Daphnia pulex: one gene and its partners. The protein of the gene in region 3 interacts with the protein of the main gene of each other region in a pairwise test. Links are inferred from orthologs where the notes say so. Each region holds a gene or a part of one and is shown on either strand. Other genes may lie near its edges. The genes, in order: uncharacterized protein LOC124207367, double-stranded RNA-specific editase 1-like and SUMO-conjugating enzyme UBC9-B.

Region 1 (3,755 bases), about 6.1 Mb from region 3:
AGCTGGCCCGGATGCACCGTTAGACATTTCCATCTCATCGCAACTGGATGCTGTTTCCATTTCTCTCATCTCTAATAGTAAAGGGGCAAAATGTCGTCCCCTCATCGTGGGCCAGCGGCCGGGAGATTATCTCGGCCGGCGACTCGAATTTTGAAAAATCAAAAAGTGAGAAAAAAAAGGACCTGATGATATTGCGCCCGGAGCACATTAGCAGATGTTTGATTTATCGGGACGGAATCAGAGTCCGTTGATGTACTGTATATTGGACGCGGCTCAGCGCTTATCTGATCACTGCTGGGCAGCCAAAAGAGATGCCGCGCAGTCTCTCTAATAACAAGGGCCGTCCCCGAAAAGAGAAGAAAGAATATAAAGTCCAGCACAGGAGAGAAAGAAATCAAAGAAAAGAAAACGAAAAAAAGAAAAGGGTTTCTGGGACGACTTCGTGCTGAGACGCACAGCAGATGATGATGGGCCAGGCCAGCAGCACAACGCACCGGTCACAATCTCATCATCATCTCTCTTATCTATATAACTTATTCTTATTTTTTAATATTATTCGCTGACACATAAATCAAATGCTAGACGTTTCTGAACGTGAATCAAGTGTCAGCCTATGCGCTCAATTTATGATTAGCCGGACTTAAATCGACTATATAGAGCTGGAACTAAATATATCAAATAAGAAATAATAATCAGTAAGTCAAGTTTTGGATTGATTACCTGGCAGTGGTGCAGTCCCTGTAGAGGATGTCAAAGTCCTTGCAGGAGAGCAACTTGCAGCGGTTGACGCCCGGCTGGATGGCGCCGAGCCCGCGCAGGATGCGGACCTGCTCGACGTTGCAGACGAGCGGCACAATGTCCAGCCGCTTGAGTTTGGTGTAGACGGTGTGCAGGCCGCCGACCAGGTGCTTGAGGAAGAGCTCAAAGGCCTGCGGCAGGCACAGCATCGTCTCGCCGTGGATGACGAAGGCCGCCACCTTCTGGTTGCGGTAGTCCACCAACTTGCACTCGTTGGCCGTCGGGTCCGTGCTGGAAATGGGCGGCGGACTGTGGCTGCTGTACGGCGAGCGATCGCTGCTGTGGTGATGGTGGTGGCTGTTCTGGCCGTGCCCGCCACCACCGCCGCCCGAGTGCATCCCGTGAGAGTGGCCGCCGTGGTGGTGGCCGTGCCCGTACAGCGAACGCTCGGCGTTCTGCATGTTGGCGGCGGCGGCGGCCGCTGCGGCCGCTGCGGCTGCTGCCGGGTGGCCCAGATAGAGGCCCGGGTGGTAGCCGTCCGGCATGCCGGGGATGCCCGTCAGTCCGGCCAGCGAAACGGGCACGCCAGGGCCCATGCCGCCCAGCAGGCCGGCTTTGCCGTGGAGCAGGGCGCTCTGGTTGGCGGCGGCGGCCGCTGCGGCCGCGTGCAGAGCGGCGAACGACATGGACGACGACATGCCGGGCCCGTGAAGCGAGCCGGACAGCGAGGCCTGCAGGGCGGCCGAGTGGCTGTTGAGGTTGGCCTCCCCTCGGCTGGGCGGGCTGTCGCGGACGGGCGGACTGTTGGCCGAGCTGGGCCGGCGGATGGGATTGTAGGAGGAGAGGTCGTGCGGGTGTCCGGCAGCGCCCACCAAGTGATGCGACGACCGGCCGACCGGACTGCGACGGTGATCCAACGACAAGTTGTTCCGGTCGGGACTGGGCGTTGCGGACCTTCCGGCTCCGGCTCCTGAAACTCCTGACGCCGCCGAATCGGCCACTGATGAAGCCGGACTAGCAGAACTGGCTGCGCCGGGCGATAGAGACATGCTGAACGACAGAGGCGAGTTGCGTAACTTGTTGCCCGTCGACACTTGCGACTGGACCGACGATGAGGCCGTTATCATTTCTCGCCCCCAACCACTAGTGAAATAATTCTTTCCGGCCCGTCTTTTTTTCGACCGATGGTCCAGCCAATAAAAACAAATAAGTCAGCAGTCGACTCTGACTGACTTCCCTTCCACTCGGGTCACTCACAAACGACAAAATTTCAAATTAACCAACGGCCTTATTATTTTCTTCCTTTGTCAGACTGGAACTTGTCACACGGGCGAATCACTCAACACAGCACTAAACGCAATAACTTATTTTAAAAAATGTAATCAGAAATGTGACGCACGTGACGGAAAACAAAAAACCAGTCTAGGCTAACAGGTGAATCAACGAGCCGGCCCTTTTTGGAATAAGTTGGTCACTTTTGTGTCAAAAAGTTGTTTTCGATTTCTTTTGATTTCAGTGTCACAGCTGTCGGGCACTCCACTTGGCAAGAAGTGGCACGTCACAGTGGTGATGGACGAATACTAGCCGAGGGTTCAATTGTCTGATGTCAAAAGAAGAAATGGCAGAAACAAAAAGAGAAAAACGAGTAAGAGTCACGTAGTAGAACGAACAGCTTCGGACTGAGTCCAGAGTCCGACTGGCCACTAGAAGTGCACAAGAGGCAATCGCAGATGGAAGAGGGCCGGCCGAAACGGAGGTATGTTCTAACAACTGGAACTGGAACTGAAGAGAGAGAGAGAAAAGCTAAGGGGCCGGCAGCAGCGCCACACAGCCGATCCGAGTGCCGGAGTCAAAAGCGAGAAAGGGCGGGCACTCGCAGGAAATGGCCAGGAATCGAAACGGGGCAAAAGAGAGGCAGATCCGTCTCCTTGGCCGTCCTTGGCAAAGAGGGGGGAAAAAACACACGGAAAAAAGGTTGGCCCAGGAGCAGTCGACGGGGCGGGGTCCGTCACCCGTAGGGGACGTCCCATTCGCCGGCTGGGGGACTGCCCCGATCGAGCGCCAATCGGAGGGCCTCCTTAACCGTCTGCCGGTCACGCCCACCTTCTTCGGTAGGAGCTGGACCTCCTACAGTGGCACCGACTGCGCGCGCGGCCTTTTCTCCGTTTCCCACGATTTCCTCCCTTCTCTTTTGTGCTTAGATTTCTTCTTCTTTTTTCTTTTCTTTCTTCTTTCTTCTTTCCTCTCTCATCTTCCATCTTTTTCTCCCATTCGATCTGTATGCTCGCCGGTGTACATCATCGTTGTGACACGGAGCACGAAGAGGGTCGCCTCTCCGACACCCACCCGGACGCCCAATCTTTTCCGTCCATCTTCTTTTTTCATTTTTCATTTTTCATTTTTCTTTTTTCTTTTCTTCTTTTTCTTGTCTCAAAAGGGACGTGATAATTGTGCACGTGAAGTGGAAATGGAATTCGTGAGTCCTTTTCATGTGTCCGAAAGACAAACGGGCGAACAGAGAAGGAGGTGGGTGGTGTTGGTGGGTGGGTGGATAAAAAAAAAGGGGGGGGGATATATGAAGAAAAGAGGCCGAACCCTCTGCGGCTCTGCGCCGGCCCAACTCCTTTCGACTAATCCCGCCTTATTCCGTCTCCCATTGGATGCACAATCCGACTTGTTCGACTGTGAACAAGCCGAGAAATACACAGTCCCATTGGTTCTCCCGCAACAAACGGGAAATCTAACGCGCGCGGACCCAAATGCCAACTAGTAGTCCCGTCCCGCTATTATGTGTGTGTGTGCCAAGGGCCGTCTCTCTTTTTTCTTTTTTGTCTTGCGGAATCGTTTCGCTTCCATTCTTCCCATGAGTGTATTTTGTTGTGTTTTTTTTTGGTCATCAACACAGGACTTCTGCTTCATTTATTTGCAATATCTGTAGCCATAATCATCAAAGATTTATTGGCATATTTTGGCCTTTTCTTTTTTTTAATCACCAATCATTTGTGTTTTCAAATACA
Region 2 (3,755 bases), on a different chromosome or scaffold from region 3:
TTTAAAAAAAACAAGATCTGTACCTTTGCTGATTTCAACGATTTCATGTTCCGGCCATCCGTTGATCCAAATGATGCTGTTCTTGGGAGATTTGGCTGGTAAGCGGTCCGGTGGGGTGGTAATCGTCGACAAAACAGGCCGGGAAAAGATGAACGGCGATGGAAGACCCTGATTTGATACAATTAATTTATAAACTGTGACATTAATTCGCGAAACCAAATAATAATAATACCTGTAGATGTTCAATCCTGCCAATGAGGGCCCTTCGTAAATGAACCTGGTGAAACAGGCTGCCTACCACAATTGTATGGAAGTAGATCGGGTCAATTAGGTTGGAGAGTAAAGATCCTTGAATACCCACAACATTCCATCGGGCGAGTTTATCAGAGCAAGACATGGTCAATAGTCGCTCGCCCTGAAGGATGCCGTCCCACGTCTGAATGGCACACTCATTCACCGGCACAGTACCTATCGACCATTAACATTTATCATTTTTGCATGAAATAAAAAATAATATTTAAATTAGTCAAACCTTCTCCTGATTCGATTTTGGTTCGAAGAGCTCCTCTTCCTTGTCGATTGGGATGGAGATCTTCGAGAGGTGAGGCAAGTGACTCGTTAAGTGTGAAAATACGAGCGTCTCCACAAGGTGCGGAGCTCACGTATAAGTGAAACAGAACATCGCTCTTCAGTTTCAAGTTTTGACTGCCGCTTGGAGACTCAAAAATCGAATCGGACGGATTGGAATTGAATATGTTCAACTGGTCGTAGAGGTAACTGACTAAACCTCTTCGGGCCAACACCTCAGCGTGGCAATCGTTTAGGGCTTCTCCCTCCATACTCAGTTGGCCACCGTTGATGCTGAAAATTAAAAATTGAATTGAAAATTGAAAAATTGAAAATTGCTGAAAAAATGAAAATTACCACTTGCTCCCGGTAGTGACGCATATAACCGTGGCCCCATCTGATGTCGGCCCTTGGGTCATGACAACTCCAGCTAAAACTTTGTAGCGTGATAAACTTTGCTGCTCGTTTTTCATCATTTCGAGGTACGTGCTCTCAATTTGTCTAGAAAAAAAAATAAATACATTGATCAAATTCCAACTGTTCCTTATCAAATGGGGCGTAAGGTTTACCTTGCTATAAAATCTCCAAATTCAGCCTCGGTGGGTTTTTCAGATGATGTGGCCGCTGAGGGTGGTTTGGGTGGGTTGGTGCGCTCCAAGCCAAACGCCTTCTGTAGGGCGGCTTGTGCAGCCTCGTTCTTGGCTTGTTTCTTACTTGAACCAGTTCCCTCAAAGGGCTGATCCCCAATGACAACTTGAATAATAAAAACGAAAAATGATTACCACAAAAAAACAGAAACAAATTTCAAATCAATTACCTCGTGCAGTGTAAATTGGCAAATGAGGACTTCCTTCCTCCTTGACTATTTCAATTTTGATCCCAGGTTTCAGACGGTTGAGGTAGAAAACAGGATTGTTCTTGGCTTGTTCAGCGTTGCTCACAGATGCCATGGGCAATGCTTTCACTTTATCAGTGACAGCTGTTTCAAAAGAATAAAAGTCTTCAGAGCTGCAAACAACCTCTGAGAGATCTTTGCTAAAGTCTTCAGCTTCACCCATAATTTCTTCCATCAGAGGGGCTTTGACACTGGGATCTTTCAGCTGAACCGAGCAGAGGAGGATCATTTGTGCGACTTTCGCCTTGGCTTTCTTCTTGGTTGTGTCTTCGGCACTGTAGGTCTTGCCATTTAAAGTGACAGATGCAGCATAAATTCTGGCATGAGGTGGTCCAGATGCTGCAATGTCGTAGACGATATTCGGTTTGATTTCATTCAAAACCATTACGGGATTTTTTTGGCCAACGGCCACAGGTTCAGTATTCTTCTTTCGTTTCTTCTTTGGTGGGCCATCATCGTGTTTACTAGTCATCTTTGTGCTGCTCCACGGTCTCGATACTCCAGTCGTTACTACTTCCATTCAAAATCTTGACAATACGACTTGGAAATGAATTCTATCAATATTAAAAAGCAGATCAAAAGGAGGACTTATAATTTTGTTAAAAGGTAAAGAAATCGGAGAACAACGAAACAAAAAGAAGTGTTTACGTATACACACACCAGTGATGGGACGATGAGACTATACGTGCTGCGGAATAGTCCGCAAAGCTTTTCCAAGTCAATAAAAGACAATTCAAAATCCCACGATTTGCATCGCTTATCGATTCGCCATCTGCTTGATTCGCGGGAATAACGGGTTTTTCTTTCTTTTGTGTTGCATACTTTGGAGAATGATTAAATCGCCGATCGATAGAAATCAATCAAAATGTATTGATTTTTGTAGCCATCTATTAGATAACTGACAAAGTTTTTCGGTGGTTGAACTTTGCCGACATTTCCGATCGTTCCTTATTACACACGGAGTATATTCTGGCCCCCATCGGATTGTGTGTCATTTATAATGCCAAAGACATATCAATGTTGCGTGATTACGCCAACGGGGCAAGTAGACATCTGTGCTGGGATCAAGTTTATGATGAGTCGAGCGTGAGACAGATTGGCTTTCTTCCTCGGGCAATTCTCTGTGGCCAAGCCCAGCGGCGCCTTCAGCAGCTACAAGAGTCGAAAGGTCTCGTGGTATTGATTTACTTTTCTATCTTTTTTTAAAAAAATTATATCTCTCTGATTTGTTCTAATCGCTTCTTCTTATTTTTTAGAATTTAGTTCTTTTTGGTTGTTGTTCTAGCGGATGTGCTACGCGCCAGCTAATAATCAGCCTGGGTTCATCCTGCACACGGAAAAAAAGTTCCTTTTCTTCTCCTAAAAGTTGTTGTCTGTACATGACGCAACAGGATTGAGCAGCGACTCTTAAACGAAGGCCGACAGTCGATCTCACGAGTCCGACACCTCTTTTCTCCTGCCCGGATTTTATCGCCAACAACTTCCGCTCCGACTCCCGGATGCCAACTACAATATTTTATTCTCGATTTTTATCCCAATCAGTCGCAAACACAAATTCTCTCGATCCAAACAACAAAAGTAATTAGCCTGTATAGTAAATTTTGCGTGTTGTCTAGTCGAGTCTACTATTTCCTATTGTTGTTGTTGTTGTTGGCCGTTTCGCATGTTCGCACCGTTCGGCATTGAGTTCATCACGCAACGGTGATTACGATCCATCACTTTCAAGTTGGCTGGGACTTCCGATATGAAAATTTAGGTTGTTGAATATATATAAGCCACTACTATTATGTATGTACGTTTATTTCTATTAAAAAACGCCGGGACTCTTGCACCAGCACTGTTGCACCCAAAACAGCGGTCCACGTTCTCAGCTCAGCTGATCACGTGATAGCGTCGAAATGATGGCAATCGCAATTTACCCTCCCGAAAAAAAAAGATAAAAAAAAGTTACAAGTGCGTCTGCAATTTACCTACGTTACTTCCTTGACGATAATTATTAATGACGAGCATTAAAGAATGAGTAGCCGTTTCACCATCAGGGGACTGTAAACCGTTGGCAATTCCATAATTAAGATAATTACTTTGAACCGATAAAATGTTGTTACAGTCATGATAACTTTGCGCGTAAAAATGTGTCGATTGAGCGTGTGGAAACCAAAAAAAGAAAAAAACGGTCGACCGCAGCGCGGCCACCGCATTCTCTTTCCAAGGTTATATGGCGCAAAGCAAACGAACGCAGCGGTGAAACAAAAATGAAGACTCACGCCCATTATAGACTAGGATTTGACGTCCA
Region 3 (2,726 bases):
CATCGGGCGAGAGACTCGGTAAAGAAGGCAAAGACACGGTCATCGCCCCCACTGTTAGCAAGAGCGTGCCCAACGTCAAGCGGTGGATAGTCAATCTGTTCGGCGTGGGTCACGGAGGTGATGCTTTTAGTCGGAATCCGCAGACGGGAGAGGACTTTTCCGACCTCCACCGTGATGACAGAGAAAGCGTTGTGTGAAATTGCGCCTCCTTATTCTTGCATCCTCCACAGTCTTTTTACATGATGACAAATTTGCTTTACTTGTTTCGTGATTCGTATATTTCGCCATTTGAAAATGCCATACCCGATCTCCGATTCTTCTCGGTTAAGATTTTTAATCGATTTCAAGTCGGAATGTTTTCTTTGATTTTAGTGTATCTGTAATATTGTCGCTGCTGAAAATATTGTGATAAATCGGTTGTTGTTTTACATACCTTGTTTTGCACTTTGTACATCGATAACCCATTTAGTTCAAATTTTAATCAGGTAAGAGAGCCTTTGATGAATTCTAGTAGTTAAAAGAAGTTTGGTCTTCATAATCAGATATTCGCCAGATAAAACGCATATCAACAAAGTAGGTCACAACCAAATAAAATAGTCAAGTGACGTAATTGAAAAAAAAAAAGGTCAACAAGTGTTACACCTTACTTAGCGTTTTATTTCAGATCGGAGTATGTTTTCTGGACGATAAGTAAGTATTGAAATGAAGACAATAAGAATTTTTAAAAAACAAATAGAGCACGTGGAAAAGAAAAAGAAGTTAACTTATTCCTTGACAGCTGGATTTACTTGGGAAATTAAGACAGCAAATCAGTGGTGGCAGCCATAGCCTTGGCTTGTGCTCTAACACGTTTTTCGTACTCCATTCGATTTTGACTGGAGAAATAATCAAATGAAATATTACAATCCAAACTTTCAAGTTGTCTACTGGTGTAAAAATCATTACCAGTAGATAGTATAAGCTTCTGCCTGAGCCGGATCCTTAATATTGGGGTCATTTAGGAGATCTTGAATTCCAAGCAAAATCTGTTTGATGGTAATTGCAGGTCTCCAGTCCTTTTCTTCATCCAACAATGATAGACAAACTGTGCCTGGATATTAAATGCCAAAAGGTTAGCTAAAACAAAACACTCAAATAGCCATTTGATTCAACCTGATGGATAGACGTTTGGATGGAAAAGTGGGGGCTCAAATTTGCATTTTGGAGGAGAAGAGGGGTAGTCATCTTTAAAAATCATACGGATTTTGTACAATCCATTTTCCCAGGGAGTCTGTAAATGTATGCACAAGTTACACTTAATATTGTTACTTCAAACAACAGTGAATTTGGTAAGTATATCTGACACCAATGTGAAGTAAGATCTTTAAGTGTAAAACTCATTACCGATTTCTTGCCTGGAATAGCACATTCCCAGTTCATCAAATTGAGGGTTCCATCAGGATTCTTTGTGGGCCTGGCAACAAAACCCTAAAGGCAACGCAAAGATACACAAATCAAACACACACAACCCAACAACTATCGTTTGGCAAACCAGCAACTTACAAAGGGATGGTCTTTCCTCCAGCCTTTACGTTCCTCAGAAAGTCGAGCAATAGCAATACCGGACATTATTGGTCACTAGAGAATAAAAATTTCAGTGTGATGTAATAAGAAAGTGTGAATATGACTGAAGAAAGCAAGATGCAACAGCTCTTAAATAAATAATAGTTACCTTTTTTCAACGGCTGCCAAATAATTTAGCTGTGTAGTTTCGTACAATTATTGCCAGGGTTGCCTTAAGGTAATTCGAATAATTACAAATCAATTTAAAATTTAATTTGGGGATTTAAACGAATAAATGATGAAACATTTGCATGTAAAATATGGATTTCAATGAAATCAAACCATTTTGGCTGTAGCATGCATAAGCATTTTTAGTTTTAGTTTTCATCAACTAAAATTAAAAATGAACTGGCTATGCTGCCACTGCCTATGAAAGATGGCGCCCAGATGGTTCAAAAAACAACAGAGCAGTGAGTCACACAGGCATGCATCTTAAGTTCTTGTATTTTGTTTAAATTCCAAATTGAAAAATCAAGTGTTAAAAAAAATCATTGATATCTTCCATCTCATGTAGCTTTGATCGTTCAACATTCGAGACAAGCCAAGCGTCGTTTACGTAATGCTTCCAGAATATTCGAACACGTGAATCAACTAGTGACAAACCACAAAGGTATCACACGAAGACAAAACGAAAAAAGGTGCAAACAACCATGTCTCGAATGAATTAAGAATGATATAATCTCTAATCCTAAAGCCTCAGTTCAGTTTAACTTTGTGGATGGGGAAACTACAAAATTGATATAGAATGTTCAGAAAGGTATGAAAACATCAGTTAATTTGTCATATTAGGTCACAAACTCTAAATTTATTAAATGAAGATCTGTTATTCCCTATTATGGTTGTTTCAGCTAGGTACTTCTCGCATAGAAGGGTTGAATGTGTTAGTGCCAAAGTGGAAGGGAATGAAACATACTTGGGTATCTCAAAGCGGAAAATATCCTGTTAAATACTCATTAGATATGATGTATTGGTGATTTCACAAAACAATAGTGCTTGAATCACTATTTTGTATAGTTCAAAGATTATTACATGTGCCAGTTTTTAAACTAATTTCTTGCTTGGAAACGTAGTGTGCTATGTAATATTGTTGTGAGTCTGTCTTTATTTTTACCATTGCACTGAAT

Evidence for each region.
Region 1: the proteins of SUMO-conjugating enzyme UBC9-B (region 3) and uncharacterized protein LOC124207367 interact in a two-hybrid assay, tested with the Homo sapiens proteins (2 studies listed by BioGRID and IntAct). The link is inferred for Daphnia pulex from reciprocal best matches to the Homo sapiens genes UBE2I and DACH1.
Region 2: the proteins of SUMO-conjugating enzyme UBC9-B (region 3) and double-stranded RNA-specific editase 1-like interact in a two-hybrid assay, tested with the Homo sapiens proteins (2 studies listed by BioGRID and IntAct). The link is inferred for Daphnia pulex from reciprocal best matches to the Homo sapiens genes UBE2I and ADARB1.

What each region holds. Positions count from the first base shown.
Region 1 is NC_060018.1:6,753,895-6,757,649, forward strand, and holds the start of uncharacterized protein LOC124207367, read right to left. Parts: upstream 2,524-3,755; 5' UTR 1,866-2,523; coding exon 721-1,865; intron 1-720. UniProt on the Homo sapiens protein: Transcription factor that is involved in regulation of organogenesis. Seems to be a regulator of SIX1, SIX6 and probably SIX5.
Region 2 is NC_060021.1:11,145,666-11,149,420, forward strand, and holds the start of double-stranded RNA-specific editase 1-like, read right to left. Parts: upstream 2,275-3,755; 5' UTR 2,123-2,274; exon of another isoform or gene 2,111-2,122; intron 2,017-2,110; 5' UTR 1,983-2,016; coding exon 1,385-1,982; intron 1,321-1,384; coding exon 1,137-1,320; intron 1,069-1,136; coding exon 925-1,068; intron 862-924; coding exon 533-861; intron 469-532; coding exon 233-468; intron 169-232; coding exon 24-168; intron 1-23. UniProt on the Homo sapiens protein: Catalyzes the hydrolytic deamination of adenosine to inosine in double-stranded RNA (dsRNA) referred to as A-to-I RNA editing.
Region 3 is NC_060018.1:633,033-635,758, reverse strand, and holds SUMO-conjugating enzyme UBC9-B, read right to left. Parts: upstream 1,865-2,726; 5' UTR 1,712-1,864; exon of another isoform or gene 1,618-1,711; 5' UTR 1,609-1,617; coding exon 1,543-1,608; intron 1,468-1,542; coding exon 1,384-1,467; intron 1,271-1,383; coding exon 1,153-1,270; intron 1,091-1,152; coding exon 946-1,090; intron 876-945; coding exon 797-875; 3' UTR 637-796; downstream 1-636. Other genes in the region: receptor-type guanylate cyclase Gyc76C-like, read left to right, coding at 1-197. UniProt on the Homo sapiens protein: Accepts the ubiquitin-like proteins SUMO1, SUMO2, SUMO3, SUMO4 and SUMO1P1/SUMO5 from the UBLE1A-UBLE1B E1 complex and catalyzes their covalent attachment to other proteins with the help of an E3 ligase such as RANBP2, CBX4 and ZNF451.